Oreochromis niloticus: one gene and its partner. The protein of the gene in region 1 purifies or fractionates together with the protein of each later gene. This does not show direct contact. Links are inferred from orthologs where the notes say so. Each region holds a gene or a part of one and is shown in the gene's direction. Other genes may lie near its edges.

Region 1 (15,793 bases):
GTTCAGTACGACGGCCCTTCAATAATTCCTCTATTAAAATGTTAAATGTGTGATTTGTGTCAGTTCTATGGGTTTTTTTGCCCCACTGTTATTAATATTTGGTAAGATAGCACAACACATCCCAGAGCTAGTGGAAGAAAGCTGCTTTGTAGGTTGTATAAGCAAGCAACAACACAACTTTTTTCACATGTAAATCTGTTTCTGTGGCATCATGGAAATCTCACTCACTTTAGATCATCTCATCTCACTACTTTCCACTTCTCAATAAGAATGCATTTCAGCTCAGTGTCTGAAAACAGAGCAGCCAGAAACAGGCATTCACTTATATTTTCTGTAGACCTTCAGAAAATATAAGTCCTACCACATGCAGTGCATATGCTCAGTTCTCTGAATCCTTAAGCAAAGACATATTTTACTCCATCCTCCTAGAAAACAACAGTGGGTGCCACAGTAGTGTATTTTTCAACAATAAATAAATAGATTAAATAACGGAATCTGTGGAATCATTGCATGAAAAACTTAATTCAATCTGTGTCCGCTGCCTAATCAGTCATGCAGTTAGTCCAGCCTACACAGTCTGTTTCATCCACAGCAAAGCGCTATGGCTTGTGGTAAATGTCAGATACAACAGGCATTCTTCTGCATCCATATATTGGATGATGGATTTGAAACAAGCATTTCACATTTGGATTGTTCACTCTTTAACGACCTGTTGTCGCTGATTTTCAATACAGTTTTTGTGTAATTTTGCATACCTCAGCCTTTTCTTCCTCATTTCCCTTCCTTAAGAACGACTTCTTGACAGCCACCTTGAGGCAATTTCTAATGTCACCAGTAGATGGATAAACTTTGCTGTTTTTTTCCCATTCTTTCTTAAGAACATGACTTTTAGATGCTGTTCATCTGCTGAACACAGGGTTTGTTTTTTTTAGGCCTGTAACCTTTTGTTTGTCCTTTGCATGTCCAGTTTCTTAATTTTTTATTAAGGTCACAGTGAATGGCATGCTGAGATATGCCATGTTTTTTTTTTTTTTAATTTTGTATAATACCTCTTTAGAAATCATGCTGTTGTTGCAATGCCTGTCAAACTGTGATGGAATTTTTCATAGATTCAACTAAAGGAACAAATTAGGTGTTTGTACGATAAAGTGGCTAAAGATACAATTTATAATTGGCTCTTTGCTAAGTTGTCTGTTATGTGTAGACACAACACTGGTTCATCCCTTGATTAAGGTGGCTTTTTATGCTTGAATGATTCATATATCAATGTTAAAGTGCTTAACAAAACAAAATAAAATAAATCCCTATGAAAATGGTGAGTTACAAGAGCTGGACTGATATGTGAAAAAGCAGCCAATGTGCAAAGGACCTTCAGGAAGCCCAGAGAGCTATCCCCTAAGACCACTTGAAACAAAATTACAAGTCTGGCTCATTGGAAGCAAACTATAAAGAAGTTAGCTCAAGTTTTTTTGCACTTTAATATAAAATTAAACAATTTCACCCGTTCACACAGACTTACTACTGTGTTACATAAAGCCGGTTATGATGTTGTAACAAAAGACAAAGTTCGATTCATTTTCAAAGTTTGATTAGATATTTTACCTCAGTTGGCTTTTTTTTATCAGCATCATTTGTTTGATTTATAAGTTAAACGTTTAGAAAATACTGAGTGGGACCGTCGCACTGCTCATTTTAACAACAGTTAAACGATAGAATAAATTCATGAATAAAATCAAGCATTGGACTAAAACGAAAAGAAACAGCATGTCTCAGGGAAGGTAGCTTTTTTATGAAGATTTATGCAAAACAGTTGCCAGTCAAATCTCTCTCACTTGGCCATTAAGTTATGCATTGAGTCCAGTCTGCACCGCTTTCCCCTTTAATTCAGCATTAAGCGTTAAACTCTCAGGTAACAGCATACACAGCCCTCCATTCTGTTGCTTTGTAAACCCAGGCGGCTTATTGTGCGGCACAAAAAAACAATCTCTCTTAAAAAAAAAAAAGTTTTTACAAAGGCTCTGTTATTACATTAGTTCTTATGCAGTAATATTGTTTCATTATATATGATTTGCTGAGATTAACACATATTCCGTCTCCGTCTCTGCAGCCCTGTGCTGTTAATCCTCGTTAGGATTAGCTAAAGCCTTTACCGCACTGGAATTGGGTTCAGAATACCATGGCAACGCCAAGAATGATGAACACATGAATGGACCAGTGCAATGACTTCTTCGTCGTCGTCGTCTTCCCGTTCTTCTTCTTGTGCCCTAGTAAAAAGCGACGCTCATTTGTATACTATTTGTATTCTGTTTGCGCCTGCTGGGTGCACAGAAAATGTGCCGTCCGTGAGCGCGTCACGAGACTGTGGATGGATGGAGGTTATATTTAGACTCTGAGAGAAAACGGTGGGGTTGGGTGATTCCTCTGAAGGAGTTTTGTCAAGGACCCGCTGTTTGAGACTACAGAGCAGAGGAGAGGAGAAGAGAGGAGGAGGAGGGGGTTATGGACGCTGCGCACAAATACCAAAATAGGATCGAGCTGCCTGCCTGCGACTGTCCTGCGTGAGCTAAATTGAGGCTCATGTGTGGTGAAGACGGGAGAGCTTGAGGACAGTGGAAGGAGAGAGAGAGAAAAAAAGCTCGAGTCATTCATGGAAATAGGGTGAGTGGTAATCAAGCAGTTTGCCTGCTTGGATACATGGATTAAAGCGTAAATGCGGAGACTCTTCTATGACCAGTCACACTGCAATTAATTATAAATGGGAATGTGACGCCTCGGTATTGCTTTGATGTTTGCCAACCCACTATGTGTGTGTGTGTGTGTGTTTGCCTTACATTAGACACATACTTTCTCCATCTCTCTTCTCTAGATATCATGTCACATAAACAAGCCGAAATCTACACATATGACTTCTGTGATGGTGACCATCCGGCAGAGCTCCTGGATGCGCTCAGGCACTTCTACATTAGCGGGCTGTTTACCGATGTCGCTCTGCAGTGTGGCGAGTCCGGACAGGTGTTTCACTGCCACAAGGCGCTGCTGTCAGCCCGCAGCTCCTATTTCAAAGTCATGTTCACAGCTGACATGAAGGAGAGATCAAACAGCGTCATCAAACTGAGCGGCATAGACTACGGGGTGCTGGGTGCTCTGGTGGACTATGTGTACACTGCTCAGGTGTGCATCACTGAGAGCAACGTGCAGAGCCTGCTAGAGGCTGCAGATCTGCTGCAGTTCGTTTCTGTGAAGCAAGCATGTGAGGAGTTTCTCATTCGCCTCCTGGATGTGGACAACTGCCTGGGCATGCACGCTTTCGCTGAGCTGCACCTGTGCCCTGGGCTGGAAAGGGAGGCACGCAGAGTGATGCTGAGCAGGTTCCCGGAGCTCATTCAGCAAGAGGAGTTTCTAGATCTGCACCCTGAGAAGATGAGAGAAGTCTTGGCTGTACAGAGCCTCACTGTGCAGAAAGATGAAGTGTTGATAGATGCTGTCGCCACATGGGCAAACCATGACTTAGATAATCGCCTACACCACGTTTCAATTATGCTACACTCCATCCATCTGGATCTGGATGAGATTTACTTTAAGACCACGTTAGACGTGTATAGACAATACTTAAAGAAGAATGATGGGAAATTGAAATCTATAATCATCCAGGCTTTAAGGTCAAATGGAAAAGAGATACCTGTGGCTAGAAAAATGTCTGCCAACATGTATATCATTGGAGGGTACTATTGGCACCCTCTTTGTGAAGTCCACATCTGGGATCCTGTCAGCAACACATGGGTGCAAGGAAAGGACATGCCCAACCATGCAAGAGAGAGCTACAGCGTCAGTTTACTTGGTGCAAATATCTATGTGACAGGTGGCTACAAGACAAACACTGTTGAGGCCCTGGACACTGTTTCAATTTATAACTGTGACTGTGATGAATGGACCGAGGCCTGCCCCATGATTACAGCCAGGTACTACCATTGCTCTGTGGCGTTGCACGGCTGCATCTATGCCATCGGAGGCTACCGGGGAGGAGCTCCCGAACGAGACACCGAATTTTATGATCCTTTAAAAAAGAAATGGTTCCCTGTGGCCAAAATGATCCAAGGTATGCTGAAATATTAGGATTGTTTTATCTCCAGGGCTGAAATGATGAGCAGGATATGAATAAATGAAGGCAGAGAAAGCAGTTTCACCACAAGGTCCATTTAGTGGAGTTTTATGAGTTCTTTATGGGCTTCTTACTCATATAGGATGAAAAGCTGTGGTTTAAAACACATGGTCATAATACCATCTGCTGATGAAGATCATGTGACTGAAAGCTCCTGAGCAGCTCATAGATGGGACTTGTTGTTTCTACGTTCAAGAATGAGCATTAGAATCAAATGTCATTATATTTTTTTTAAACTGTATCATTAACAATCATTTGTGTGACTCTTACCATTTACGGTAGCAGCTATTTATTATATGTTCTGCACAGAACAACAAGCCGACAGAGTTCACATTAAGAATTGTATCCACCACCCAAAGGGAGTGAGCAGGCAGCTAACATTACAGCTCAGCAGAAGGAGACATCATTAATGTTTAGATAGTGTCACACTGTTGAAAACTCATGCTTTTCAGCATGGTTAGATGAACTGTGGGGGTATAGCTTAGCAAATAATAGAGAAGTTCATAACTGAAACTGCTTGAAACAAGGTTTGCAGATTTTTGAATGACTAGGCCACAGTTTCTGCGAAAGCTGCTGAGTTTTTCCAAACAGTGCTTTGATAACCAGATGTCAAGTGCCATTTATTTCCATTTTATTAAAGAAAAACCAGAATCTGATAGAGCTGATATCTGCTAATCTGAACAACTCACATCAAAATGATCCAGATGGATAAATGGCACTACAGGCCAGAGGAAAAACATATAATTTTGATTTTGCGTGAACTGTCCCTTTGAACTGTGCATATATATATATGTAACTTTGTATGAATGAAGTGATAAAACGAATACTTAAGGTATCATCGTTTTTACGTGATAGACAGTTTGGACTGTTCAAGTGATGCTTATGATCTCTGCTTTCTTTGAAGGTGTAGGAAATGCTACTGCGTGTGTAATGGGAGATAAAATCTATGTAACCGGAGGTCATTATGGCTACAGAGGAAGCTGCACCTATGAAAAAACACAGGTGTACAGACCAGATGTCAACGAGTGGAGCATCATTACAATAAGTCCCCATCCAGGTATGCGTGCTAAAGAAGACCAAACAGAAGCATGAGTATATTAAATGCTGTTTTCTAAGGTGAACTCCTCTCATTTCAGAGTACGGGCTGTGTTCTGTGTCTCTCAACAACAAGCTGTATGTGGTGGGTGGACAGACGACGATTGCCGACTGCTACGACACAGAGAGAGACGAGTGGAGACCGATATCGGTGATGAAGGAGAGGAGGATGGAGTGTGGGGCCGTGGTAATAAATGGTTGTATTTACGTAACAGGTGGATACTCGTACTCCAAAGGGACTTACCTTCAAAGCATTGAGAAATATAACCCTGAGCTGGACTCGTGGGAGATAGTGGGGACTCTCCCCAGCCCGACCAGGTCACATGGCTGTGTTTGTGTTTATGGTGTTTAGTGACACAAATTTTTGTTTACTGATTATTTTGTGCCAAATGGATCTAACAGTGACTTCACTGAAGAGAGCTAATATTCCACACTTCATATTTATCTCACAGCATGTCAGCCTGCACCAGATCCTTTAGGAAGCTATTTGCCAAACTGTGAATATAGTGATGAATACCAGCTTTTCATACAAAACTCAGGGGCCTCATGTTGAGCGTTTTTTGTTTGTTTGATTGTTTGTTTAAAATAGACTGAAAAGAAATGCAAAAAAAGAGAAGATGACATTTTATAATCTAATAAGTATTATTTAAAAATCACACTACAAATAGACTTTTATTAGTAGAAGTGTACCAGGTTGTACCTTGATTGAACAAAGTACTAAAATGCTAATGGAGTTCTGTTTGAGTTCAGTGAATTTTATGGACTTAAGAAATTTATTTGGCACTTCATTCGTTATATCTGTTAAACTGTTTGTTAACACAAATATTTAATCAACCGGTCACATAGCAGCAACCCATTGCATTTAAGCACGTAAACATGTTCAAGATGATCCTGTGAAGTTCAAACTGAATGGGGATGAAAGGTGATTTAAGTGACTTTGAATGTGGCATGGTTGTTGGCATTTCACAACCTGCTAATCTACTGAGTTTTTCCCAGATAGCTATCTCTAAGGTTTACAGAGAGAAGATGTCCAGTGAGTGGCAGATCGCGAGCTGATCCAAGACAGAATGACCAGACTGCTTTGAGCTGATAGGAAGGCAACAGTAACTCAAATAACCACTTGAAGCAGATGGGCTGATTTGGCAGCAGAAGACCAGACTGGGTGCCACCCCTGTCAGCTAAGAACAGAAAACAGGCTACAGTACAAACAGACTTACCAAAATTTGAACAATATAAGATTGAAAAATGCTGCTTAGTCTGATGAGTCTTGATTTCTGCTGCAACATTCGGATGAAAGGAATTTGGCAAAAACAACATGAAAGCATGGCTCCATCCTGCCTTGTAACAAAGGTTCAGGATTGTGGTCTTACAGTATGGGGAATATTTTTTTGGCACACTTTCAACTTCTTAGTAGCAGCTGAACATTGTTTAATCACCACAGCCTTCCTGAGTATTGTTGCTGACCATGTCCATCCCTTTATGACCACAGTGTACCCATCTTCTGATGGCTGCTTCCGGCAGGATAACACTCCATGTCACAAAGCTGAAATCATCTCAAACTGGTTTCCTGAAAATGACAGTGAGCTCACTGTATTCAAATGGGCCTCCACAGTCACCATATCTCAATCCAAAAGAGCACCTTTGGGATTATGGTGGAAGAGAATTCTCATCACGGGTGTTCAGCTGACAAATCTGCAGCAGCTGTGTGGTGCTATCATTCCAGCATGGACCAAAATCTCCGTGGAATGTCGACAGCACCTTAGTGAATCTGTGACACAAACTAACATGGGGTACAACACTGTACCTAACCTGTGCCTAATAAAGTGGCTGGCAAGTGTATATAACAGATACATAAATATTATACATAAAAATGAAAATAAATAAATAATAAACACACAACACAAAGACTTTGCAGCTGACCAAACACACACATCCGCACATGTGCAATAACACTAATTGTAATTATTTTTCTGACAACATAGTATTTTATTCTATTGTATATAGTATTTTATTCTTTTTTTTTTATCTCATCCTATTCCATTGTTTTTCTTAATTTTTGTTGCTGTAACTTTGCACTGTCTCCTTTCTGCTGTGACACAACAAATTTCCCACGTGAGGGACTAATAAAGGTTTATCTTATCTTAAATTCAAATAATTGAAAAAAGACGAGCTACATTACATTTTTTAAAGTTGATGTCAAAAGAGAAAAATACTGATAATAATAACAGTCTTTTCCCAAACTTAGGTGGGTGATATTTACGTCACACATACAACAATAAAAATACAATGTGGATGTCTCTCAAAACAAAGTCAGGAACGAGGCAAAATTATTTTAAGCTAATGAAATGTCAGCCTTGATAAAAGTCTGACCTTCCTTGCAACAAACGGTGCAACTGAAGTCCTACTATAATTGTTTTTAAAAGGTACACACATCAATAAAAAAACAAACTAATAAATACGAAAAACAAAAACTTTAAAATGACACATAAAAACTAAACGCCATGATTAGAATCACAGCGGCATCTTGTGGTTGTGATATATCATCGCAGTTTCTAATATAGGCATCAAATTTACACACTGTTCGCGTAAATACGTGACTTAGCAAAAACAAAAAACAAAAGAATAAACAGAAATTACATTTTTAAGCGCAAATATGAAGGCATAAGAAAGTTTAACAGGTATGCGAACATGTACAAGAATACTGAAGGTTTTGGATAAATTTGTAGTCTTACGTTATTTTTATTTCAGGCTTGGGAATCTTAGTGTGTTTGAAAAACAAAATGCACATCGATCAGTTTGCTTAAACTTTTAAGTAAGAAGGTAACGTCTTATGATTTTAAAGTGCACTCTGGCTAAGATTTATCAATTTAATAATTAATGAATTTAAACATTGTCCACGGATAGATTAAGTTTCTTTATTTTTATTTTTATTATCTGATTACCCAAATATGTACTAGTGAAAATTATTCCAAAACATTAGCACGTATACATAATGAAAAAGACCAGATTTCTTGTTGTTCAGCTGCAGCGATCAGAGGAGCTTGCGCGAACATGAGTCCTTTTTGGTCCTCGGTGGGCTCCGTAGCACGCAGTTCCAACGTGCGAGCGGCGAAGTGAGGACTGTTGGTTTCAGCGGCTTAAACTGCTTCTAGCTGCGACTCATTATGTAAGTGCAACTTTTTACGATTGTGAAAACAATGTTTAAGGCTTTCTATGTTACCCAGGGAGTGTTTTATAACGTTACTAAAGAACAGAGTGGATTTTCTTCAAGCAGGTTTGAACAGCGTGCTGCAGCTAGAATAATGTTAGCAGAGTAGCGGTGACTACTTTAATTTACATATAAAAAAGTAATTCACGCACTAACAAATCACGTAATTGATTAAAACATGTACTGATAGCGTGGATAGACAAATAAGAAGCTGCTTTTGTTGTGTTGACACCAAGCGTGGCCCGTGTACTGAAAGAGCTAAGCTAACAGGTTAGCCGTGGAGCTAGATGAGCCTGTAGTTAATTATGACGAAAGAAACACGTTGGTTGAGTCCTGTGATGTACTACAACTCACAATTTTAGGTTTGGGTTCCCTTTTGTAAGATTTAAATCTGGGCATCTATCTGAAGGCGCGTATCTAAATATAAATATGCAGCAACTAAATGTTGTTTAAAAGTGCATGTAACTGTTTAACTGCATTACGTTATTAATTTGGTTAATATAATTAAGTCTTAAAGATGGTTCCTATATGGCCTTGCAGATAATTTACAAAAACTCAGACAACAGCAAGGCCTCATAGCAGTGTTTAATATGACAACGTGGCCAATAGCTGATCATAATTTTTCCCTAGTTCGTTTTTTTTGTATGTTGTCTTTCAGTTTTGGATTTTATTTATTTACTTGTTTGTTTGTTTTGGGTTTTTTTGTTGTTTGTTTTTAGCGATTTCTTTATACTCTTCCTCGTACTATATTTCAACTTTCAGCCAGCACAACATTAATGAATGTCGGCTAGGGAGGTTCGTAAATATCATTTGGTTTGCGGATAAGCTGATGTCGAGCAGCATCCCTAGAAAATGGCCACATAGCTGCGCTGTCCTCACTACAGCAAAGGGGAATGGAACTTTCTGTGTTTACAAACATAAAATATCAATTCTAGGGGTGAAAAAGCCCCTTTTCCCATTAACATAGTTCAGGTTGCCTAAACCTGGCAGTTTTCTGTTTTTAGTCATTTTATACCTCCTGTTTAAAACAGTTGGCTCTTTGAGTACTAAAGTCTAATATTTGTTAGAACAACCTGTTGTATAAATGTAATCTTTGCCATGTTTTAGATTGTTTAGATTTTTGACTTCACAGGTTGTCATACAAGTATTTGTCATGATTTTTGACCTTCAGATATTTTACTTGATTCTCAACAGAGTTCATTTCTAACAAATTAAGAGGTACATCAAAAAGCAAATGAAATGAAAAATAATGAAAATATTTAAGTGTCAAGGCTTTGTTTCATTAGTTTAGCTTCTTATTAAAAGTGTAATTCCTGCAAATTATAAACAAAATTACTTTTTTGGGATTTGTTATAGAATAATCATTTTTTAATCCAAATTTTATTCCTTTTAATCTTTAATTATTAATTTATTAGTAAAACCAAAATCTTAATTGATTTGGCCAATAAGAGTGCATCGTAAATTGTAAGTTTATCCTATAGGATTTTATGTGTGCGTGTGTGTATGTTCAGTCTGTTTTAAAACTTATAACAATCAAGAATTTAGATAAGTGAATTGAAATTTGATTAAATATAGATAAATATTGTGAATGACCTCACCTGCAGTACCTTCACAGCCCAACAGAGGGCTGCGATCCACATGTTGGGAATCTGCCATTAATATAAAATTTACAGTTAATACAAAAAAGCTCCCCTCTGGCACACTAAAGATAGAAAACATTTCGACTTTTTTGTTTCATATATAACATGGATAAAATCTCTTCTTATAAGATTTCTTTATTTAAATATTTGTTGTAAACATCAGAGAAATCTCTAACTCAGGAGGACACCTTTCTTTTTGTTTTGTTTTTTCTATGCAGAACCAAAATGGCAGAAAGTAAAGAAGAGATGTCCCCACTGGAGGCGAAAGTGGCGCGACAGATCGAGGTATTTCAAATTTAAAGTTTAAACTCATAATTTGGTATTTACCAGGTAAAACTGGTCCTGATTTGGCTGTAAATTATTCCTACCCAGTACTACTTCGGCGATCACAATCTTCCAAGAGACCGGTTTCTCAAAGAGCAGCTGCAGGTTGATGATGGCTGGGTGACTTTGGAGACGATGCTTAAATTCAACAGGTTTGTTTATTTCTCTTTAATGCATTCCGTGTCAAATTATAACTGTATTTATTTTATTTTAATCTCTATTTTTGGCTTTCATTTATTTACCTATGCTTTTTGTTTGGGGGGGGGGAGGACTCTACTCTGAAGTATTTAAGTGGGGTTTCAAAGTCCAGGCGCTATCTTCAGTTTGTTCAACTTTAGATTACTATTCAGTACTACTGATCTATTTACTGATTGATGAGAAGTCTCTTTAACTTAAGATTTTTAGCTGATTGCATTGTGTATTTATAAATGTGATCATCTGGGGTCTCTAACTAAACTTAGGACTGAATTTTAGATGCACTTTTTAAGGTGTTGTTTGACGTTACGAGACGCTGCAATAAAATCTACTCTGTAAATTTGTTAATTAAATTTCTTTCACTGTGAAATTGTATATACCTGTGGGGTAAATTTGTTGGTTGCTTATATTAGACACTTTTTATTACAGATTAACTAAATACTATGCTTATCACAACTCGGCATTAAACACTGTGCTTACCTTCTGTGCAGTGCAGTTCTAACACTGCTTTATCTGCTGAAATATGAGCATGGAAAACTGACCGTAAAGCCCACTAAAACACAGAATTTAGCCACAGAAAATTAATAAATGAAAGCTGACACATGATGTAAAATGATCTGACAATTTCTGCTAAAGTGTCCTATCGAGTTCAACGTTTTGTCATCCTCTAGAGCAGCGGTCCCCAACCTTTTTTGCGCCACAGACCGGTTTATGCCCGACAATGTTTTCACAGACCGGCAATAAGGTGTCGCAACAAAATAAAACTAGTGCCGGTACCGAAAAAAAGAAGATTTATTCATAACCCACGTGAAAAGACCCAGGAAAACCGATAAAAACGATAACAAAATAACGCTGAAAACTGATAAAAACTATACATTTCACACCTGAGCCTCAACTCTCGCGCCCCGGTACCAAACGACTCACGTACCGGTACCGGTCCGAGGCCCAGGGACCGCTGCTCTAGAGGTTGTAGTTTTGGATATTATGGTAAATGGCCTGCATTTGTATAGCGCTTTACTCAGTCCCTAAGGACCCCAAAGCGCTTTACACTACATTCAGTCATTCACACACACATTCACACACTGGCAAGCTACATTGTAGCCGCCGGGCCCTCTGACCACCACCAGTAGGCAAACATGGGGTTAGTATCTTGCCCAAGGATATTTGGCATGCAGCCAGGAGGCAGCCTGGGATCGAACCACCGACCTTCTGATTAGTGGCTGACCTGCTCTGCCACCTGAGCTACAGAGCACATGTTGGTGTATATGTGTGTGAGGATCTTTAAATGCAGCATGCGAGTGCAGCTAATAGGAGGAGACAGTGCCTGTGGCTGTAGTGAATGTTAGTTTCAATGTGCATTCACATTGCTGTTACTGCATTGTTGAAGTGGCGTTATTCTCTTCACCACACCTGTAATGACTAAAGGAGGTGTGATTGAGGGCTGACGGTAATTGGCAATTAACTAGCTTAAAACCAGTATATTATTTATTATATTTATTGTTGTGAAAAACAGCCTTGTATGGACTGCAGTTCTATTCCACTTAGTATAAAAATACTAGCACAACATGACATACTGAAGCTGCAGTAACAACCTTCAGTCCACAAGGACAAGGGTAGGCTTTTGAGTATAGCTGCTTGGGGTGGGGGGGCTGAGCAAGAAGAGGAGGATAGTGATGACTAATCGGTGTGTTTGGACCCTTTCTGTGATTCATGATGGGCAGGATGAGATGAGAGCATGCTCTCATGCTGTGCCTCAAGTTCACTTGTTAGCAGCCAGGTCACAAGTGGCCACAGCAAGGGCAAATTAACACAGCAGGAGGAATCCATTCCTGTAATCCCTTTATTGAAGTGTATATTTAGAATGTAATGTTGTGTGTGAGTCAGCAAATTACATTCTAATTGAGCTTTATTACTTGAAATGAGAGTGCCCACCCCACTCACATACATAACATGAGCAGACTGAGAGAATTCAAAGAGGGAAGATTAGATGAGCTGCAGGGTCTTCTCCCTTATACTGCAGATGAATGCATGCATCATTAGCGTTAAAACACAGCCTTACAGCCGTCTGTAGCCAGGTGTTTGTTGAAAGATTTGCATTCTTTTCATAGGTTGAAGTCTTTAACCACAGACAGCAGCGTCCTCATTGCAGCTCTGGAGAAGTCAAAGACTGGTCTCTTGGAAATCAGTGAAGACAAGACAAAGATCAGGAGGTCTCCCAGCAAGCCCTTACCCGAACAGAACGATGAATACAAGGATGCACTTAAACACAAATCTGTATACATGGCAAGTTTTTTTAGTTTTTTTTTTTAAACTGTATGCAAATGCATTGAATACGTAAATATTTGTTTGTGCTCACATTGGCATTCAGACAAGTTTAATTTTTTTTCAAACTAATGCAGCGTAATGCAACAGTGCAATACATCTTTAGCCTACCCACACTCTTATAAATTGTGTAGACAAAATAATAATTATTCTCCACCTTGATTGTATTCTTACTGTTTTCCCTACATTTCGTTTTTTCCTCATCTAGAAAGGTTTCCCTCTTGAAACATCCCTGGATGAGATTCAGGATTGGCTGAATGGGAAAGGCTCGGTAGAAAACATTCAGATGAGGAGAAACCTCCAAAGGCAGTTCAAGGTACATGAAACACAACTTGAGATGTATATAATTTTTATTTTTATGTTTTTCAATTTTGGGAGACCTTCTCTTATATAATTTTTATATTTCTGTCTTTGCAGGGATCTGTGTTTATCTGTTTTGACACTGAAGAGTCAGCCAAGCAGTTCCTAGAGCGCACAGATATAAAATCATTCAAAGACAACGAGATGCTTGTGTTATCAAGGTAGGCTGTGATGCTTTTTAGGCACTAGCTAGCGGCTATCAATTGTGTCAGTGATTTAATGAAGAATTCACTGATTTAAGAGGTGTGGCAGATGTGTCATATATGTACTTTAATGCCCTTAAATCCGATGAAGTAGCTTGCATAACTTTTTATAATTTTTTAAAAAAACCTTTTAAATTGAACAAGGAAACTAAACTGTTTTGTTTGTTGGGCCAAGACAGACTTACAGGCCCATCGTACTTGACCTTGTGAACAGTGTAACAGCACTGCTGGTGATGTTTCAGCTTGCTGTGCACTTTTCGTTCGATCATGTCGGTTTTGCAAACCTTTGAATTTCTCTGTGTGAAACAACGTAATTGATCAGCTGTTTTTTTTTCTTTCAGGGAAGCCTACCATGCCAAGAAGGCAGAAGAGAAAAAACAGTTTAAAGCAGAGACAAAAGCAAAAGTTAAACAGTGAGTACATATTCTGTATCTTTAATCATAAAACTGGATTATACATTTTGTGAAAAATAACCTTCCTACTTCTGTCCTTTTTATTCAGGGAAAAGGAACAACAGCAGAAACATGCAGAAAAAAAAGAAATGGTAAGCTCTCCAAGTGTTTGTGAGCTTAGTCTGCTAATGAACGCACAACTTAAAGAATAAATAGGCTTTGTAATGATGTTTTCTCATTTTACTTGCAGGATCTGCTTTTGGATGAGCAGTCAGGACGTTTACTGAAGTTTTCAGGAGAGCTTGAAGGTGTTTCAAGAGAAGACTTCCATGAATTGTTCTCTGGGCATGGAAACATAAAGTGGGTTGACTTCACAAGAGGGGCCAAAGAGGTATATTTTCCATCTGTTTCTTCATACATGTGGTATAACCTTATCTACTTACATCATTTACTTGTGTAATTCAATTCAACATGTTTTAATTGTAACCATTTGTTTTATGTGTGTTTGTGTTTTATATTTGTGCGGGTTGGGGACATCTGGTGAAATCGTGTCCTTGCAAGAGAGACTAGATGTCTGGGGTTGTTTAGACTAATGGGGTGATGAATGATAATATCCACATCTGTGGTAATTACAGGAAATTTCCATGGATAGAAAGCAGTTTTCATTGACAGTACAGAGATTTTGTCTCTTGCAGAAAGGGGGTGATGTCTTCCTCAGGTTTCTAATGTTTGTAGAAACCAGGTCTGTAAACCTGACTGAAGTCAGGTTTACAGACCTTTTTTTCCACAACACAACGTGGTGGCATGACTCAGGATTGAAAATGAGTAGAGCTGTTTCATTTCAAAGAAATATTTTTTGTTTAAATATTTTATTTTTCTCCTCCTGATAAGGGCACCCTTCTGTTTGACGGGAAAGCACAGGAAGCGTTCGATAAAGCCAAAACAGCACACGGAGAGGAACTGAAAATCAACGACAACACTGTCACATGGCAGCTGCTTGAAGGAGATGAGGAGAAGGACGTAATGAAGAAGATAATAGAGGCTCAACAAGGATCATTCAGCAGGCCCAGAGGCAGAGGTGAGATGCATTTTCATGTTGTTTAACATTGTTGACTGCATTGGGATGTAATCAGTTAATGTCAATGAAGATACAGTTCCACAGTGTCATCTATCTTTTATAGATGAACGTGTATATGATTTAGTAAGATAGTCTTGTCTGTCGTAAAAGGTGGAAGAGGAAGAAGAGGCCGATGGGGAAGAGGTGGCAGAGATCAAGGCAGAACTCAGTACCAAGGAAAAAAGATGAAGTTTGAAAGCGATGATGAGCAGGAGAAGAAGGGTAAGTTCAAAATCATTTAGAGCATTCAGTTCATTCAACTCAAAAAGTTCATATCCCATTCATTTTCAGTTCCTAATGGAGTCCCCCAGTGATCTATCCTGGGCCCTCTTTTATTTGTCATCTGTTTCCTGTTCGTCATATTTTCCATACATTTTTTTTTTGTTTTTTTTAAATAATTTTTCTAACAGTTAAAGTCATAAATGTACGCAGATGAAGGCACAACATTGCTCCCACCCTTTCCCTCCCCTTGATAGAAGATCTCACGTGAAAAACAGAAAACAAAGTAGTGATATATACTCACGGTATACACTAAACTATAGACATGTAAGACAATGGGTCACTAGGCTATATAGAGTCAACATAAAATAATCATGAATCCATTTCGCAGGCTGACATATTCTCAACATAAATAATGAATGGTTGCCAGGAAGTATAGAATTTTCCAGCACACCCTCTGATGGTGAACTTAATCTTCTCTAGATGAATGTGGCTCACCACGTCTCTGATCCACTGGCCAAATGTTGGGGGCCAAGGATCCTTATTTTCTATAAACTTA
Region 2 (15,603 bases), on another chromosome or scaffold:
ACCATTTAAATCTATTTACAGAACAATCAGGTGTGCTGCATCAAATAAGAAGGCACACAAATTATTTGTGCCAGTCCAAAAAATGTAGTTTGTATTCAGTATAAGACAGAGGAGAACACCACAGGCCTAAACCCTGCAGGTCTGACAACTGGACGTGCAACAGTCCAGTTTTCTATGTGGAGACAGCGTTTACACTGGAATCTGCCTTTGACAGCTTTTTTAGATCAAATATGAAATTCAGCAGTCTAACCGACACACAATACAAAACAATAACTACACAACAAACTAACTACAGCCTCCAAACACGCTAAACGTCACTAATGTCTCACATATGAAAACTCTCTCTCTCTCTCTTTCTTTCGCTCGCCCGCTTTCCGTCGCGGGTGTCACTCCTAAAAACTTCCCCTTCTCCCTAAACAACCAAATGTCACATGTTGCCTTATCATTTTTTTGATTGGCTGACATGGTAAACTCTAACACCAATAGGGAAGGGGTGTTTTTCTTTTTCTTTTTTCACTCGCAAGTGGAGAGCGTATGCTAGGCTGTCTGTAGAAAACGCCGTTTTTGTCTAGCATCCCTGTTGAGAATAACCTTTGCAAATAAACAACAGCTAATAACAAGATCAAAATATTTTATTTGATGTATTGACATAAATGACAGAAGAAAAAGGCCATGTATAGCAGGACTACTCAATTACACACTAAGGTGGGCCAGATTTTCTAACCAAAAAAAAAAATTTCCCTGGCTCAGACATGCAAAAGTTAAACACGACCATACACTAATTGCAAATTAAACACAGTGATTTTGAATTGTGATGTGATGGTAAAATAAATATTTGTCAGTCTAAACTGGGTTAAATCTACGGGGTTAATGATGGGGAGGAGACGGAGAGAGACTGAGTACAGCTACAGAACCCACTTTCTGAAACGGACCCTGCTCACCATTCACCGACAATTCTGAGCTAACAAGTTGCATGTTATTCTTGGATGCGCTTGCAGGACCGGATTTAAAATAGCATGACAAACATATCATACCTGTTAAAGCCAAACAGTATCATCAACGTAGCCCGAAGAACATTTGCTAATAAGATGAACTTAGCTAAGTCAGCTATTTCATCGTAGCAAAAAAAAAAAAAGCACCACCTACCGTTCTTTATGCAACTTCAAATGTCGGACAAAGTTGGAAGTTGTTCCATCTCCATCTGTGATTCTCTTCTTGCATGTTTTGCATATTGCATTTCGTTTTTTGTTGACTACTTCGTAGTTTATGTACCCGAAAGAAATTACTCTTGGGAGCATTTTTGGCTCGAGCGTTTTTGTTCTTGTTTTTTTCAAATCTGGTTAATTTGATTGGCTGTGCTACAGCCCACGCTCACATACATACGGAGTGTGGTAAGAATGAATGAATGAATAAAGTGAATTAATGGTCCGCACTTTTTATATAATATGTATGTTAAATTTTAGATTTGGGTAAAATATCAAGTCTTTTCAAGTAAACAGGTTCAAGTCCAATTCAAATCCCAAGTCACTGGTGTAAAAGTCCAAGTCAAGTCACAAGTCTTACAACCTTTTTTCAAGTCAAGTCTAAAGTCATAAAATTAATGACTCGAGTCTGACTCGAGTCCAAGTCATGTGACTCGAGTCCACACCTCTGATGATTTGTAATTCCTTGATGAGATTGATTACCAGTGTTAGTCAAGTTACTTGAAAAAAGTAATTAGTAACTAATTACTGATTACTACTCCAAAAAAGTAATCCCATTACTTTACTGATTACTTATTTTCAAAACTAATTAGTTACTTAGTTATTTAGTTACTTTTTAAAAACATGATACACAACCTGAATACATAATTAAGCAGTAGAAAGACATTTTCTTCCCACGCAGAGTGTACAGCGGACGCTAATATTTTTGTCACTTTTTACCAACTAAAACTTAAAGTAATGTAAGTACGTCCAAGCTTTAAAAGCTGCATAGTCGTACTCTGTCCCGCACTCCATACTATCCATTGTTGATCTACACAAGTCTGTTGCTGCTGCAGGCGTTGCACGTGCTCATAGCTGGACTGGCCATCGGGCATACCGGGCATTTGCCCGGTGGGCCGCTCGTGATTTTTCGTTTTTATGGGCCGATGGGGTTTTATTTCTTTTATTTTTTCAACGGTATAAATGAATAGTGGTGTATTGGCCAGTTGGTCATGATCGACTCTGGGCTGGACCAATTACAGCCGAGGAGGTCGAACTTTAAAGTTGAGGTGAAAAGCAACGCGATTTGTCCCGATCAGAAAGAGCAAACCAGCGGAGGTCGCGTTAAACAACAGTAGCACCTTTAAACTTGATGAGCTGTTGTTAGAATTTATTTAATATTAATTTCTAGTATCAGCTGATGTTTGCTGGAGGGATGAAGGGTTGAAGGGAAGTTATGAACTGTTTCTGGGAGACAAATAACACCAGGATCCTTTTCTAAGTAGCTGACAGCTGGTAACTGTGCAGGGGCGGGTCTAGCAAAGTTTTGCCAGGGGGCCAGGTAGGGTATTAACAGGGAAAGGGGGGAGGGGGAACAAAAAATACGTTTCTTATTCTCATTTAAAATTTCTAGCTTTTAACAAATAATTATCTGAATCATACAACCAAAGTTTTCATCTGATGTCAAATGTATAGAAATCCATTATTGTACATAGTACTTTTTTCAGGGTCCCAGCATAATTTCTTCAGAACTAAGTACTGTATATGATGCCAGTATTTTCCCACATTTTCTAGATACTGTACCAGTACTGTGTGTAAAATACCATCAAAATTAAGTTTTGATGGTAAGTTTTGAGTGAGGAAGTTTTATTCTTTCTCACCTTTCTGTCTCCTTTCACTTTTTAAAGGTTGCCATGTTAGAAAAAATATTTTGCCCTGCCATGCTGTTTATTGATGTGGTAAATAAATAGTTTATGAAAATATCACTAAATCTGTCATTATTTTTTAATATTCAGTAATGGTCATGTCTCACCTTTAGTCTTCGGTCTTAATTTCAGGTTTCCTCCATGTGTTGTAGAAAGTTCAGGAGGTAAACCAAGCAGTCTTTGGGTTTCGGCTAAGTACTGTTTAGAATACCAGAATAGGGAGGATGGTGTAGGTTTAAGTTCTAGATTGATACATATGTACCAACAAGACAGTGTACATCACTGTCACAACGACGGTTTTTACCATAATACCTGGTGGGCCGGTCTCTAGTCAAAATGCCCGGGCCGATTTTTTGTCCCAGTCCAGCCCTGCACGTGCTTATGTCATTGTCATGAGCAGTGTTGGGACTAACGCGTTATTAAGTAACGCGTTACAGTAACTACGTTATTATTGTGGTAACGAGCACGGGAACTAGTTATTATGCCAAAACCAGGAACGCGTTACTCGTTACTGGGATTTAGATAGGCTCGTTACTCGTTACTTCGTGTGGTGGATATCGCGGAGCTTCCACAGATTCAGTAACATTAGCAAGTGGTGGAGGCCAGCAGGTGGATGAAGGAAAAGGGAGGCAAGAGGAGAGACCCGAAGCGGCCGCCGGTCCGCGTGTCAGGTGAACTGAACTTCAGGTAAGAAGTTATGACCTGCAGTCTATCTGGGTCAGATATAAACCAAGTTTAGGTGGAGTTTATTTTCGGTATGCTGACATTTTCGTACTGCGTGCTAGCTAGCATGACGGAGTTTCTATACAGCTGGGTGGGTGCTATGTTACTGATGTTGAACTTTATTTTGTTCATACGGTTAATTATTAGAGTTGCCAACCGTCCCGTAAAAAACAGAATCGTCTCGTATTCAGAGAAAATATTACGCGTTTCGTACTGAGGTGAAAAGGAACACAGTTTGTCCCGGACTTCAGCTACAATGAAAAAGACACAAAGCTGAAGCTGCACAGCTGCCTCTTCTTCTCTCATTCTCTCACGTTTCTACTTCAATCACGAAACTGATCAATGATCAGCTGATCGGCTTTTCTCTCTTGTTTATTTATCGCCCACTTTGCGCCAGAAAGAGGAAACCAGCGGATGTCGCGTTAAACAACAGCAGCACGTTTAAGCTTGATCAGCTGTTGTTAGAATTTATTTAATATTCATTTCTAGTATCAGCTGATGTTTGTTGGAGCCACAGCTGTAAAGCTGCTGGTCATGATATCGGTTTGGTTATCTGGTGAGAGGGAAACATGAAGATGAAACCAGGAGATGTCCTTACTGAATCATCAGAGCTGAACAGGTGATGGAGAAACAGGTTTACCTTTTAGGTGACATGAATGAGTTGAAGGGAAGTTATGAACTGTTTCTGAGAGACAAATAACACCAGGATCCTTTTCTAAGTAGCTGACAGCTGGTAACTGTGCAGGGGCGGGTCTAGCAAAGTGTTGCCAGGGGGCCAGGTAGGGCATTAACAGGGAAAGGGGGGGACAAGGAAATACTTTTCTTTATTATTCTCATTTAAAATGTCTCGCTTTAAAAAAAATAATTATCTGAGTCTTACAACAAACAATTGATAGAGTGATACATATATACCATCAGAACAGTGTACATCACTGTCACAACAGTGTTTATTTTCATTCAAAGGCTTTATGATTTTTCCTATATTGGTGGGCCGGTCTCTAGTCAAAATGCCCGGGATGATTTTTTTTGTCCCAGTCCAGCCCTGTATGCAGCTCATCTGCAGTCTGGTGTTACCTACATCTTCCTATTCAGAAGGCAGAATTTCCAAGTTCTGAGTACAATCAAAAGCACCACGACTGCAGTTTTTGTGTTGGATGTAAAAAGCAGGCTAGAATCATGGCGGCGGTCAACGACGGTCCAGGCGTGGGATTTCTCTCGTGGAAATGTGCACATTATTTTTTCCTTTCTGTTGGTAGGTGGCACAGTGCACTTGTGGCAAGCAAGCAAGCTAGAAGACTGGCAATCTTGCTGAGTATCCAGTTACGGAAGCAACACATTAACAAGAGAATTCCAATAACCAAAGTTACTTTCCCTAGTAACTAGTTACTTTGAAAGTAACGAGTAACTTGAAGTAACTGAGTTACTTTTTTAGAGAAGTAACTAGTAATGTAACTAAGTTACTAATTTAAAGTAACTTACCCAACACTGGTCATGAGACACTCTCACAAACAAAATCACAATGGTTTAGTAACGCAGTAACGGAGCGTGCTAACGGGAAAGTAACAGTAATCTATTTACTTTTTTGCGATAGTAATCCTTTATATTACTCATTACTTGAAAAAAGTAATCGAATTAAAGTAACGCATTACTGCCCATCTCTATTATAGCTCTTAATTACACACGATCACAAATTTTTACCAATATATATAAATATATATATTTGACCTGCTCCTTTTTTCTTTTTTCCAAAGATTCACAATTTAAATGCATGAAAAATGAAAAAAATTCTTCATCATTTATAATGTTGCACTTTGATTCATGATAATTTTATAAATAATGTGTTCCTAAAAGTTTGCTTTTCTCTTTTTGAAGTGTGGAAAAAAACAGCATCTCCAGAAATAATTGTTTTTGCTGCAAAGTGTTTCTTTGATGCTTTTTGTTCTTGCATGAGGGGAGAGAAAATCTAAAATGTAAACATTGTTTAACATGAAATTATGTAAGTTTATATGAAATGCAAGCTTAGAGCAGAAAATTGTAAAAGGTTTGATATTTGTGCAATTTTACTTCTCAAATTTTGAAGATTTTAGATGTTTTTCACTATTAAATATGCTTTTAACTATGTATATTGAGTTCCTTTAAATGTCTCGACATCTCTAATCAGTCTAATTTGTAAGTGGGAAGTTACTGAGCTCTTTTTTTGTCACAATATCCATATATATCCATATATCCAGTAAGCGGGAGTTCACTGGGTAAAAACAGCTTGAGCTAGAGGTCAGAGAAGAATTGCCAAACTGCTTCATGATGATAGGAAGGCAATAGTAACTCAAATAACCACTGGTTACAACCAGGTTAACCCAACCATAGATGGGTCACAAGTCAGTGCCCTTCAAGTGCACTGACTTTCAGTTCAAGTCAACTTTCAATTTAATTTTCAGTTAAAGTGTATTCATATAGCACCAATTCCCAGCGACTGTCACTGCAGGGTTCTTTATATTGTTTAATACAGACCCTACAATATTAAACCAGAAAAAAATGGAGTCCCAAGTGAGAATAAATGCGGGGAGTTGTGTCAGGAAGCGCATCCTGCGTGATATCTTAGGTAAATCAAACATGTAGATCATCGAGAAGAACATTTCGATACCAGATTAGTCAGATCTGTGGACAACAACAACAACCTCTGATGCTGTTGGAAGGCATGTTCAGAGGCATCAAGAAAGAAGGAAAGGCAAGGATGTAAGGAGAGGTAGAAACCAGGTGGGAGGGAAGCAAGGCCAGGAACTACTAATACTCTTAGTATGCTGTCGCCCGGAAGAGAAATGAAGCAGGGGTCATCTTGAAGGAAAAACTTGTGTTGTGGAGGTGAAGAAAACAGAGGTGACGAGGAGGTGTTGGTAGGTATGATGTTAAGGAGAACAATGCTGAAGAACAGAAGGTAGTGGATCTTGTGAAAAAGATGGAAATGGCCGTGATGAACACTGATGGGGTTTGCAGAATGTACTCCACCATACAAAATACACTGAATCCTGGCAAAGGTGCTTCTTGACACTGGGCTGTTAGAAAAATAATACATTTTCATTAGAATTTCTTGCTTTGTACAAACTAAATATAAAAGTGAAAAACAAGTAAATTTTTTCCATCGGCTGTGAAACTATTCAGGTTTTTTATAGCCAGTTTTGTTACTAGATGGTAATTAACAGATAGTCAAACACCTTCTTCATGTACAAATTGGTATTACAGAAAAAATATAACATTGTCAAATATAAACAATATACTATTAATATATTTATATTAACAATATATATTATCAGTATATGCGCACAGAATGGGAGGAAAGGTGCACAAAAAACAAAGACGTGTGATCGTTTCTCTCACTCACAAACAGGTGAAATATAAAAAAAGGAAAGATCTGCAAGGTGAAAGGTATCGGATTTGCAGTGGGAAGGAAAGAAAATGCCTTAAGCCTAGAATAGAACAAGCTCGGAAAGTTGGAAAAGGGTCCCGTTTCTGTGGCCCTTTTGGATACATTGAAGGTCAGTTTGGAATTGATGGAAGAAAGTGTGTTTGTTTTTTGAAAAGTGAAAATATGTGATAGGAAATCTATCTGGAAGACTGGCTATATGTTTTAATGCATTGTTCTCATCTGATGGAAATCAAAATCATCAAAATGTATGATTTATTCTTCGTGACATAGACATGCTAATGTTAGTGTTTTTTATGTTGATAGACTGAACAAAACAAAAGCACTCCACTCTTTTTGGCCTCAGGCTTGGAGGTGCTGATTCTCATTCCTGCTGCTTCACATTTGGCTGCAAACCTCTCCAGTGTGAGCTGGAGGCCACCACCTGATGAAGTCAATGGAACCACATCATCTGCAAAAAGCAGAAAGCTATTCTGAGGCCAACAAAGTGGAAGCTTTCTGCAATCTGGCTACGCCTAGAAATTCTGTCCATAAAAATTATCAACAGGAGTGACAAAGACAGCCCTTTGTTCCCATTTATTCTACCCGAAACTAATAAAATTGCCATAAACATTCTTAACAGCCTGAAAGAAGATTTGAAACAAGGAGAAAAAGCTGAGCTATGTCAAATTTCATGAGAACTGGGCTTAAAACCTGTTGTTACAGGTCTTATGGATTGATGATTGAAATTTTTTTATTTAAATCAATGTAAGTATGTACGGAGGAGGTTAGAACAAAGGTACAACAGTTTTTATATCCATCCAATAACCATGGTGGAGGCTCTGTCACAGTTTGGGGCTGGAACCTGGAGCCTGGAGAACTATTCCTAAAGACATTAAAGAAAAAATTACAAGCTTGTATAAGAGAGTTCAGGCTGTGCTGAAAAATAAAGATCGTCATACCAAATATTGACTTGCGCATGTTTCAATAAATCACTGCACTTATTTCCCGTTTTACTGGCAAAATATAGAAAAATGACAGGTGGCTCAAGTCTTTTTCAGTGGATTGTGAACCACTAAAAAAAGTGAATGTGAACGTATGGAGACAAAGTGAGAGAACCCTGGGGGAATGTGCCTGTGTGATTTTACTCCATATCCCGGGATCCACCGCGGCACCGCCCTGTTATCTCACTGACGGTCTGCGGGGAGGCCTTTCCGCATCTAGCTACATTAAAGAAAAAAAAAAAACAACCCAAAAAACTTGAGCACTGTGTACATACGTGGTGGTAAGTGGATATTTATGTCATGTTATTTCAACTCGCAAACAGTATGTGTTGAGTAAAACCAACACAGTTTTGTTAGGGTTAGCGTATGTTAGTAGCCATCCTGGACTAGCTGTATCAAAGTGCTTTCCGGTGTCCCAGCCAGAGAGGAGCTCAGATTGGGGAGTTGATAGTTTTGTGCTGACGGCTAACATTAATATCATTACTATGCAGCCAAGTCACGGCTGGGGAAACTGAGGAGACTTGGGCTGGCTATGAGTTGCTACATGACTAGTCAGATTCCTAACTTTATTGTTAAATGATTAAAACCGCTAACTTACTTCACCTTGTCCAGACCGCCCTCCTTTGCTAGCTTAACTAGTTAAGTTAGCAAACGAATCTCTACCGGGAGTGTTAGCTAAGGCTGACTAGCTTGTTAGCGCCTCATTCCGCAGCTAACTTCAAATGACGTGTAGTTAACTTGTCGTACCATCTCCTGTTAACGGACCAGCGTGTCTTCTCTCTGTCTTATGCGTATCATCATCTTCTGTAATCGGCTTTAAGCTATTTCTGACAGCGCTCTGAGGCAATGAGTAAGTCATGTTTGCTTGCGAAGTTAACATTGTCTTGTGCATATACATGCTTTCTGGCTGGCCTTGAACTCGAGAGGTTGTTGAAGGGGCTCAAACATTTTAATTTGCATTTTAACAACGTAGCTGGATAATTTATGTCCTAAGTAAGGTGTGGTAAGCGCCACCTTAGCAAACGCTGGGTGGTTTATTAACGCTTGCGCAATCCTGTCAAATCCGAACCATGGTTTGATTTACACTGGGGACGCTTTACGTCCCGTTAGTATTAGTAGTTAGCTTTTATTTCATTTTCACTATAATATAAGATAAAATACCACAATCAAATTACAGTGCCATTTCATTATAAAGTTTAGAACTGTTTCGTTTTACTACAATCTGTTTCAGGACGCCTCAAGTGTTTCAATGGAGCTATCAGGAAGTACCACTAGCAACCATACCCTGAACTCAACAGGTGTTGGTTCATGGGAGATCAGTGACAAGGCCAAGCTTTGTCGCTTCCTCTGCTATGGCTCAGAGAGGGACTTGTACAGTACCAAAGAAAATGGTCGCATCAAATTGGAGAACACTGGAGCCCTGCAGTCCATGTTGGAGGAGAAACGAGGCGCTGAGGTGTTGGAGGAAATAAAAAGGTTCGCTCAGGATGGGCGAGCTGTCAGACTGGAGCCCTCCATTTTTGCCTTGGCTTTGTGCTCCCAGAACCCAGATGTGAACACCAAACAGGCAGCGTTCAAAGCCCTGAAGGATGTTTGTCGTGAGCCTGCCCATCTGTTTTCTTTCATCAAGTACAAGAAGGAATTAAAAGAGCACATGAAATGTGGGATATGGGGCCGTGCCCTGAGGAGAGCACTGTCTGACTGGTACAATGAGCAAGATGCCATGAGTCTAGCTGCTGCAGTGACCAAATGTAAGCAGAGAGAGGGCTGGTCACACCAGGATCTGCTCAGACTCTCCCACACTAAACCAGCTAGGGATGGTAAGTATAGAGACCCACGTCATTTAGCCTGCAGAATGTTAGAAGTAATCAGTTGAATAAATGTCTGCAGTTATCCAACTTTCTTCTCTGGGGTTTTATTGGATGTTCTCTGTTCTGAGCATATATGTGCATATTTATAAACTCCCCATGCTGAATTTTAATCAGTACAGTGTAAGTTTTTATTTTGTTTCACTTTAGTCGGTGCTAACATGCAATGCCCATCTCTTTGTGTTTTCAGCTATTGCCTTGATCAGCAAATATGTAACAAAAGGGTGGAAAGAGGTCCAGGTTGCTCATGAAAACAAAGAGAACGCCGAAGAGGTTATCAGGGTGCTTTCATATCTTGAAGTGGTGGAAAAGGTAAAGCACAGTCGGGATGAAACTGAGGTCGTCACTTTAATAGAGGAACACAAGCTTGAGAGGGAACAGCTGCTGACCGAGCATCTGAAGTTTAAACAGGTGAGTCTGTTAAATCATTTTTTTTTTTAAGATGCTTTTTGTTTTTTGTGCTCGCTTGTTTTATTACTAAGCACTTCCGTAGTTGTTATGCACCGTGATACTGTAGTAAGTAGTAATTAGCAGTTTCCGACAGATCAATTATTTTTTCTGGAAATAGGGTTATTAAAGCTGGTGGGACACGTACACAGGATGTCTTGTAGACAGGCCTGGTTGTTGTTTATAACATAGATCGTAGTGATAATTGATGAGATGAATTCAGTTTTTACACTTGGGATCTTATTAAAATTAGAAATGCACACGAAATAGTAAGATTTTCAGTGTTCTCAGCCCAAACTGGTGACTGACTGGGCTGAGAACACGTAAAGCAGCGCACATTCATAACCACAGTTTGACAAGTGGGGAAACTGCTCACACTGAGTGACTAGACCAGTGTCCAATGCAGAAAACCATGGGGAGATGACCACAAAAATGTTTAACAACAAATCTAATCACTTAAATCACTTTCACCCAGCTGAACATATGAAGCAAGAAAAGGCAAAGTGGCTAAAGCAATACAGAACTCAGAGAAGGTGCAAGCTAGCAGTGTCTGTATGAGCAGTCAAAGCTTAAAAACGGTTATGAGGAAAATTATGAAGGCAAGTGAAAAACAGATGGGGCTTGTGAAGTTCAAAACAAACTGGGTAGTAATGAAAGCAACTCGTATAGTTTTGTTTAATAAATATATTGTACCGGCTGTTGTTTGGTAAAGTAAAATATGCCATGTAAAGGGTGGTGTACAGCAATTTATTTTCAGTTTTGTTTTTTAATCTGTACCTCCTTCCAGTAGCAGCACAAATGATAGAAAAGTTTATTTTTTCAGTTCTCAGAAGCTTGTGATCAGCAAAAATCTCCCTCGGCAGTTCACACTAAAAAAAAAAAAAAGAAAATTGTATCTTTAATTCAAACAGAGCATTTAGAACAGGGGTGTCAAACATAAGGCTCGAGGCCCTGGAAGAGCCTGGCAAAAAGTCCAATCCGGCCCACTGGATGACCCGCTGGACTTTCACCTGTATTTTCATAAATTTTACAGCTTGTCCTGCTGATGAAGCCCTCCTACTCAGTCTTGCATACTACATCAGATTATTAAATGAACAATTAAATGACAGAAAAGTTCCTTTTTTTGGTTTTCAGTACTGACAAAAGGAATTCCTGCTTTTTACAGTGTGTCCACAGTAAAATAAATAAAACAACAAAAACTTTCTGCTTTATAATTACAGGACAGTCTGGTAAATGAGCTACCAGAATGTCTTTATCATGTAGTAAAACTGAGACGCCCTGTTGAAATTGCACCTCTTTATTTATATTGAAATATTGGAGGGATTAAATGTGCAATTACACGTAATTACACTGACAGAAAGGGGACTTTCCTAGGTCTGGCCCACTTAAGATTAAAGTTCTGTGTATCTGGCCCCTGATATAAAATAAGTTAAACATCCCTGGTTTAAAAAGTAACTGCTTTCTTGTTTACTACCTAAACACCAAATACCATAAATGATCTTTACTATCTCACCTCCTGAACTGCTAGGACTTTTTTTTTTTTTTTTTCCAGTTTTTGGGGGTTGGGGTGAGCCCCTTGTAAGTTCCTGCTCACTGCGTAAAAGTGTTCTCTGGAGGGGGGAAAAATCGAAACATTTCTTATCTGTAAAACTGCAATGTTCAGGTAGACTGAAGCCTAATGTAAAGAATGTGGAAATTTATTTTTCTACATCTAACAGGATGTGTGGTGGTTGTTTTCTGCAGGTATGGAGCGCTTTGTTGAAGGAAATGCCTCTCCATTCGGTGGTAAAGATGTTAGGTAGGCTGACATCTGGCAAAGTTCTTGAACCAGGAAGCTCAGAAACACAGTTTTTATGTGACAGAATTCAAAGTGAGACTGCACTAAAACAGGTAAGGCTCACAACTTCTACCAGAAATGTTATTTTGTTTTTAATTATGCAGAGGTCAATATTTATAAATTAAATGTCTCCTAAAATCACCAGGCAAAGATCCACCCTTTCAGTATACTTTTGGCTACAGAAAACTACAAAAAAGGCCATGGCTATCAGGGTAAACCAAAATGGGAAGCAGACCGCAACATCCTTAAAGCTATGGACTCTGCCTTTTACAAGAGTTTTATGGTATGTTGTTGTAATTTTCAAAACTTTCTCCAGTCGTTGCAGAAGATGTCAGCAGCAGTTGTTTAACATGAATGACCTGTTCTGCTGTGACTCTGTCCTCAGAATGTGGAGCCTGTGGGTAAATGCTTTGTTGTGGCAGTAGATATGAGCGGGTCACCGAGCAGCATTGTCCCAGGAACGTCGATCAGCACTGCTGCTGCTGCAGCCGCTATTGCCATGGTAAGACTGTACTACAGCCAGATGATGCCATCTGGTTAGTTAGAACAGCTGCATCTTCAAACAGGGCTCAGGCTGCCCCATCTTTAGAGAGATCCCGGGTGATGGCGTGGGACTGTTGACGCATACTGTGAATTCCCTGAAAATTCCTTTCTCAGTATGTTAGCGCATAGGGCCTAACAGTGGTGTACTGTGTGTGAATGTGCATGCAGGATAAAGGCATTTTAGTCAGGGTAACTAAATGGCTTTCTTTTGACCTTGGCTTTGACACAGATTTTAGCAAGGACAGAGGCTGACACACATGTGCTGGTCTACTCTCAAGAGGCTATGGTACCATTCTCTATTTCTGCTGACATGACTCTCAAAGAAGCAACTGATGAACTGGTTAAGGTAAGGATTTACAGAACATTAAAGGTGAAGAGAATACGAGCGACTGAACAGTTCCTTTCAGGAATAAGGTAGTTTTGACAATACACTATTTGTTACAGACAAGCAACTAGAGGCAGTTTTTTCTTCTTCTTCTTCCACCTTCACATCAAAGTACTGCAAAGCAGTGCTAGTTAGCTCATCTACCACCTGTTTATTGTCCTCTCACATAGAGCACGAGAGAAAGGGGTGCACAGCCATCAGGTAGTGCCTTTATGTTGCAGTTCCTGAGTGAGAGCAGAGGCTGCACCGTTCCCATTCAATGGGCCACAGAGAACAGGAAAGCTGTAGATGTGTTCGTCATTTTGAGCACCAACCCACTGTTGATGTTAACTGCCAGCCCGGTGGAGTCTCTGAAGAAGCACAGAGAAGTATGTTCGTTTTTTCACATCTGGAGTTGAATTAAATAATGGCCTTGTGTGGTAAAGATTGTTTTTGAAAATATACAATATCAAGCAAAGATTAACGGGATGGGGTTGATGTGCTATTTTTATTCACATTGTTCCATAGATGGCTGATAGGGCACAGTTAATTTTACAGCATTATAAGTTCTCCTTTAAACTCCTTTATCTAAAAGGTTACTTAAAATATGTACTAAGTAACGATGGCAAATGTAACATTTTTACAATAAACATGGTTTGTGTATATTCTCAACAGACATCAGGAGCTAATTCGAAGCTGGTGATGTGTGACCTGACTAACACTGGATTTGCCATCGGAGACACAGAAGACCGGGGTTTGCTGACCATCTCTGGCTTCGACCTTGGAGCTTTTAGTGTCATTCGTAATTTGGCCCAAGATCTGATCTGATAAGATTTCGGGGACTTTTCTTGAGTAATGTAATGAGTGTAGAATATGAAGGCAAAGAGTGGACCAATGAGGCTCATTTAGCATGTAGAGTGTCCCAAAACAGCACTAATCTAAAAGATGCTGACAATTTCAATTCCAGTTTTTCTTTGTTTTCTCTTGCTCACCATTAAGTCGACAAAGTATCCAGCGGGCTGGACAACACTTTGGAAATGTAAATTGCATCTATATTTTGTGAAAATTGAATAGGAAGTGATTAAGACATGGTATGTGTTTGCATATCATGTTTTTAAGAGTCTCTATATGATCAGCTGTTCAGTACTTTGGTGGATTTTGATGGGTCGTGATTTAAGTGGGGAAAAAATGAACCAATTCAACATTTGTAGCAAGAGGTTGTCAGGTTAAGTGGAACAATGCAGTTTAGGGTGTTTGCAACTGTAGGTTTACTTCGGGGGGGATTACCTGTAGTTTTCAACATGCATCTATGGTATGAGTTAGCAGGTTTGATGTAGAGATGCTTTAAACCTTCATTTCATGTAGCGTTTCTTAGACATACTTAACATCAGTGAAAGAGAAACCTGAAACAAAGCATACAAAGTCAATGGTAAAACTTGGAGTTGCTTTTTATTGTGTTAATTTCACAGATTTCTTAGATCAGAAAAGTTTTTCTTTAAGTATTAACATCTTGGATTCCTTTTACACAGTTTTTGCTTTAGCTTAGCCACAAATTTTAGTTGTTCTAACATTTGTTTGACCCTAAGCCCAGTTTATTGCTTTAAAGCTGAGTTTTTGGTTTTCTTCTTGTGAGATTATACTTTAAAAGAAATGTGGTGACACTTTTTATAAAGCAAATTTGGATTCAGTTTTAACAACACACTAACGCCAATGTTTGGGATTTTTTTTTTTTTTTTTTTTTGAAAATTTTGTTTCAGTCTGAATTCTGTGCATCAGAATTTACATTTTACTGTAATAAAGTATCTGGGAAGGACCAGTCATAGCTCTCTGATACCCGTTACCTTATCTTTAATGTGACATTGTTTGTTCTGCAACAACAGAAAACTGCTACATTTCCAGAAAACTTGATATGAATGAATCATTGTGAAAATTATTTGAATGTACTTTCATAAGACCTGTAACGGTCAATTTAAAAGACGTTTTATATTTCTCCAGACACAGAATAAACATGCACAGCTTAGAGAGTTTTAGAGCCAGGGCCTGTTAATTTTTGAGGAAATGTAAGCAAATGATTACAGTGGTGCTTTTCGTTTTAGTCAACCGTAATAATTACTGAGAATATTCAGTAAGCTTTACTTATCACGGTGTAATTTAGTCTTCATAAAAACTAAAAAAGAATACAACCCAAACTGACCATGTAACTGTGAAGGATGTTTGTCCCAACATGCTGATGTTTTCATTTTTGTAATTTTAAAGCAACATCCACAGTCTTTTTGGTCAACATATAAAATATTTATAACATGACTGTTGACACAACGTTTTGGGAGATGGACATGAGATTTGATAGTTCTCAAGTGTTTCACAACCATTCTCTTCTATCTGTCCTGCTTAACATGTACCTATTCACTGTAGCGGCGATGTAAAGCCCTTCCTAATAAACAATTTGCTGCTCTGGAAATTTGCGTTCATCTTAACAATAACTGCCTGAGTTGTTGGAACTGATACATAACTGTGATTAAAGTAAAGTTTGCAA

The links.
Region 2: the proteins of ssb (region 1) and ro60 purify together in Homo sapiens (affinity purification with mass spectrometry; 3 studies listed by BioGRID and IntAct, with this or other methods). This does not show direct contact. The link is inferred for Oreochromis niloticus from reciprocal best matches to the Homo sapiens genes SSB and RO60.

Annotation. Positions count from the first base shown.
Region 1 is NC_031987.2:16,034,983-16,050,775, forward strand, and holds the start of ssb (lupus La protein), read left to right. Parts: upstream 1-8,264; 5' UTR 8,265-8,420; intron 8,421-10,320; 5' UTR 10,321-10,327; coding exon 10,328-10,387; intron 10,388-10,474; coding exon 10,475-10,578; intron 10,579-12,729; coding exon 12,730-12,904; intron 12,905-13,151; coding exon 13,152-13,259; intron 13,260-13,360; coding exon 13,361-13,464; intron 13,465-13,847; coding exon 13,848-13,919; intron 13,920-14,007; coding exon 14,008-14,050; intron 14,051-14,148; coding exon 14,149-14,289; intron 14,290-14,789; coding exon 14,790-14,976; intron 14,977-15,126; coding exon 15,127-15,237; intron 15,238-15,793. Other genes in the region: klhl23 (kelch-like protein 23), read left to right, coding at 2,872-4,096, 5,064-5,216, 5,296-5,606. UniProt on the Homo sapiens protein: Binds to the 3' poly(U) terminus of nascent RNA polymerase III transcripts, protecting them from exonuclease digestion and facilitating their folding and maturation.
Region 2 is NC_031982.2:9,732,768-9,748,370, forward strand, and holds ro60 (RNA-binding protein RO60), read left to right. Parts: upstream 1-8,144; 5' UTR 8,145-8,292; intron 8,293-8,349; exon of another isoform or gene 8,350-8,861; intron 8,862-9,242; 5' UTR 9,243-9,260; coding exon 9,261-9,831; intron 9,832-10,069; coding exon 10,070-10,290; intron 10,291-12,069; coding exon 12,070-12,216; intron 12,217-12,308; coding exon 12,309-12,446; intron 12,447-12,548; coding exon 12,549-12,665; intron 12,666-12,935; coding exon 12,936-13,052; intron 13,053-13,261; coding exon 13,262-13,459; intron 13,460-13,745; coding exon 13,746-13,898; 3' UTR 13,899-15,528; downstream 15,529-15,603. UniProt on the Homo sapiens protein: RNA-binding protein that binds to misfolded non-coding RNAs, pre-5S rRNA, and several small cytoplasmic RNA molecules known as Y RNAs.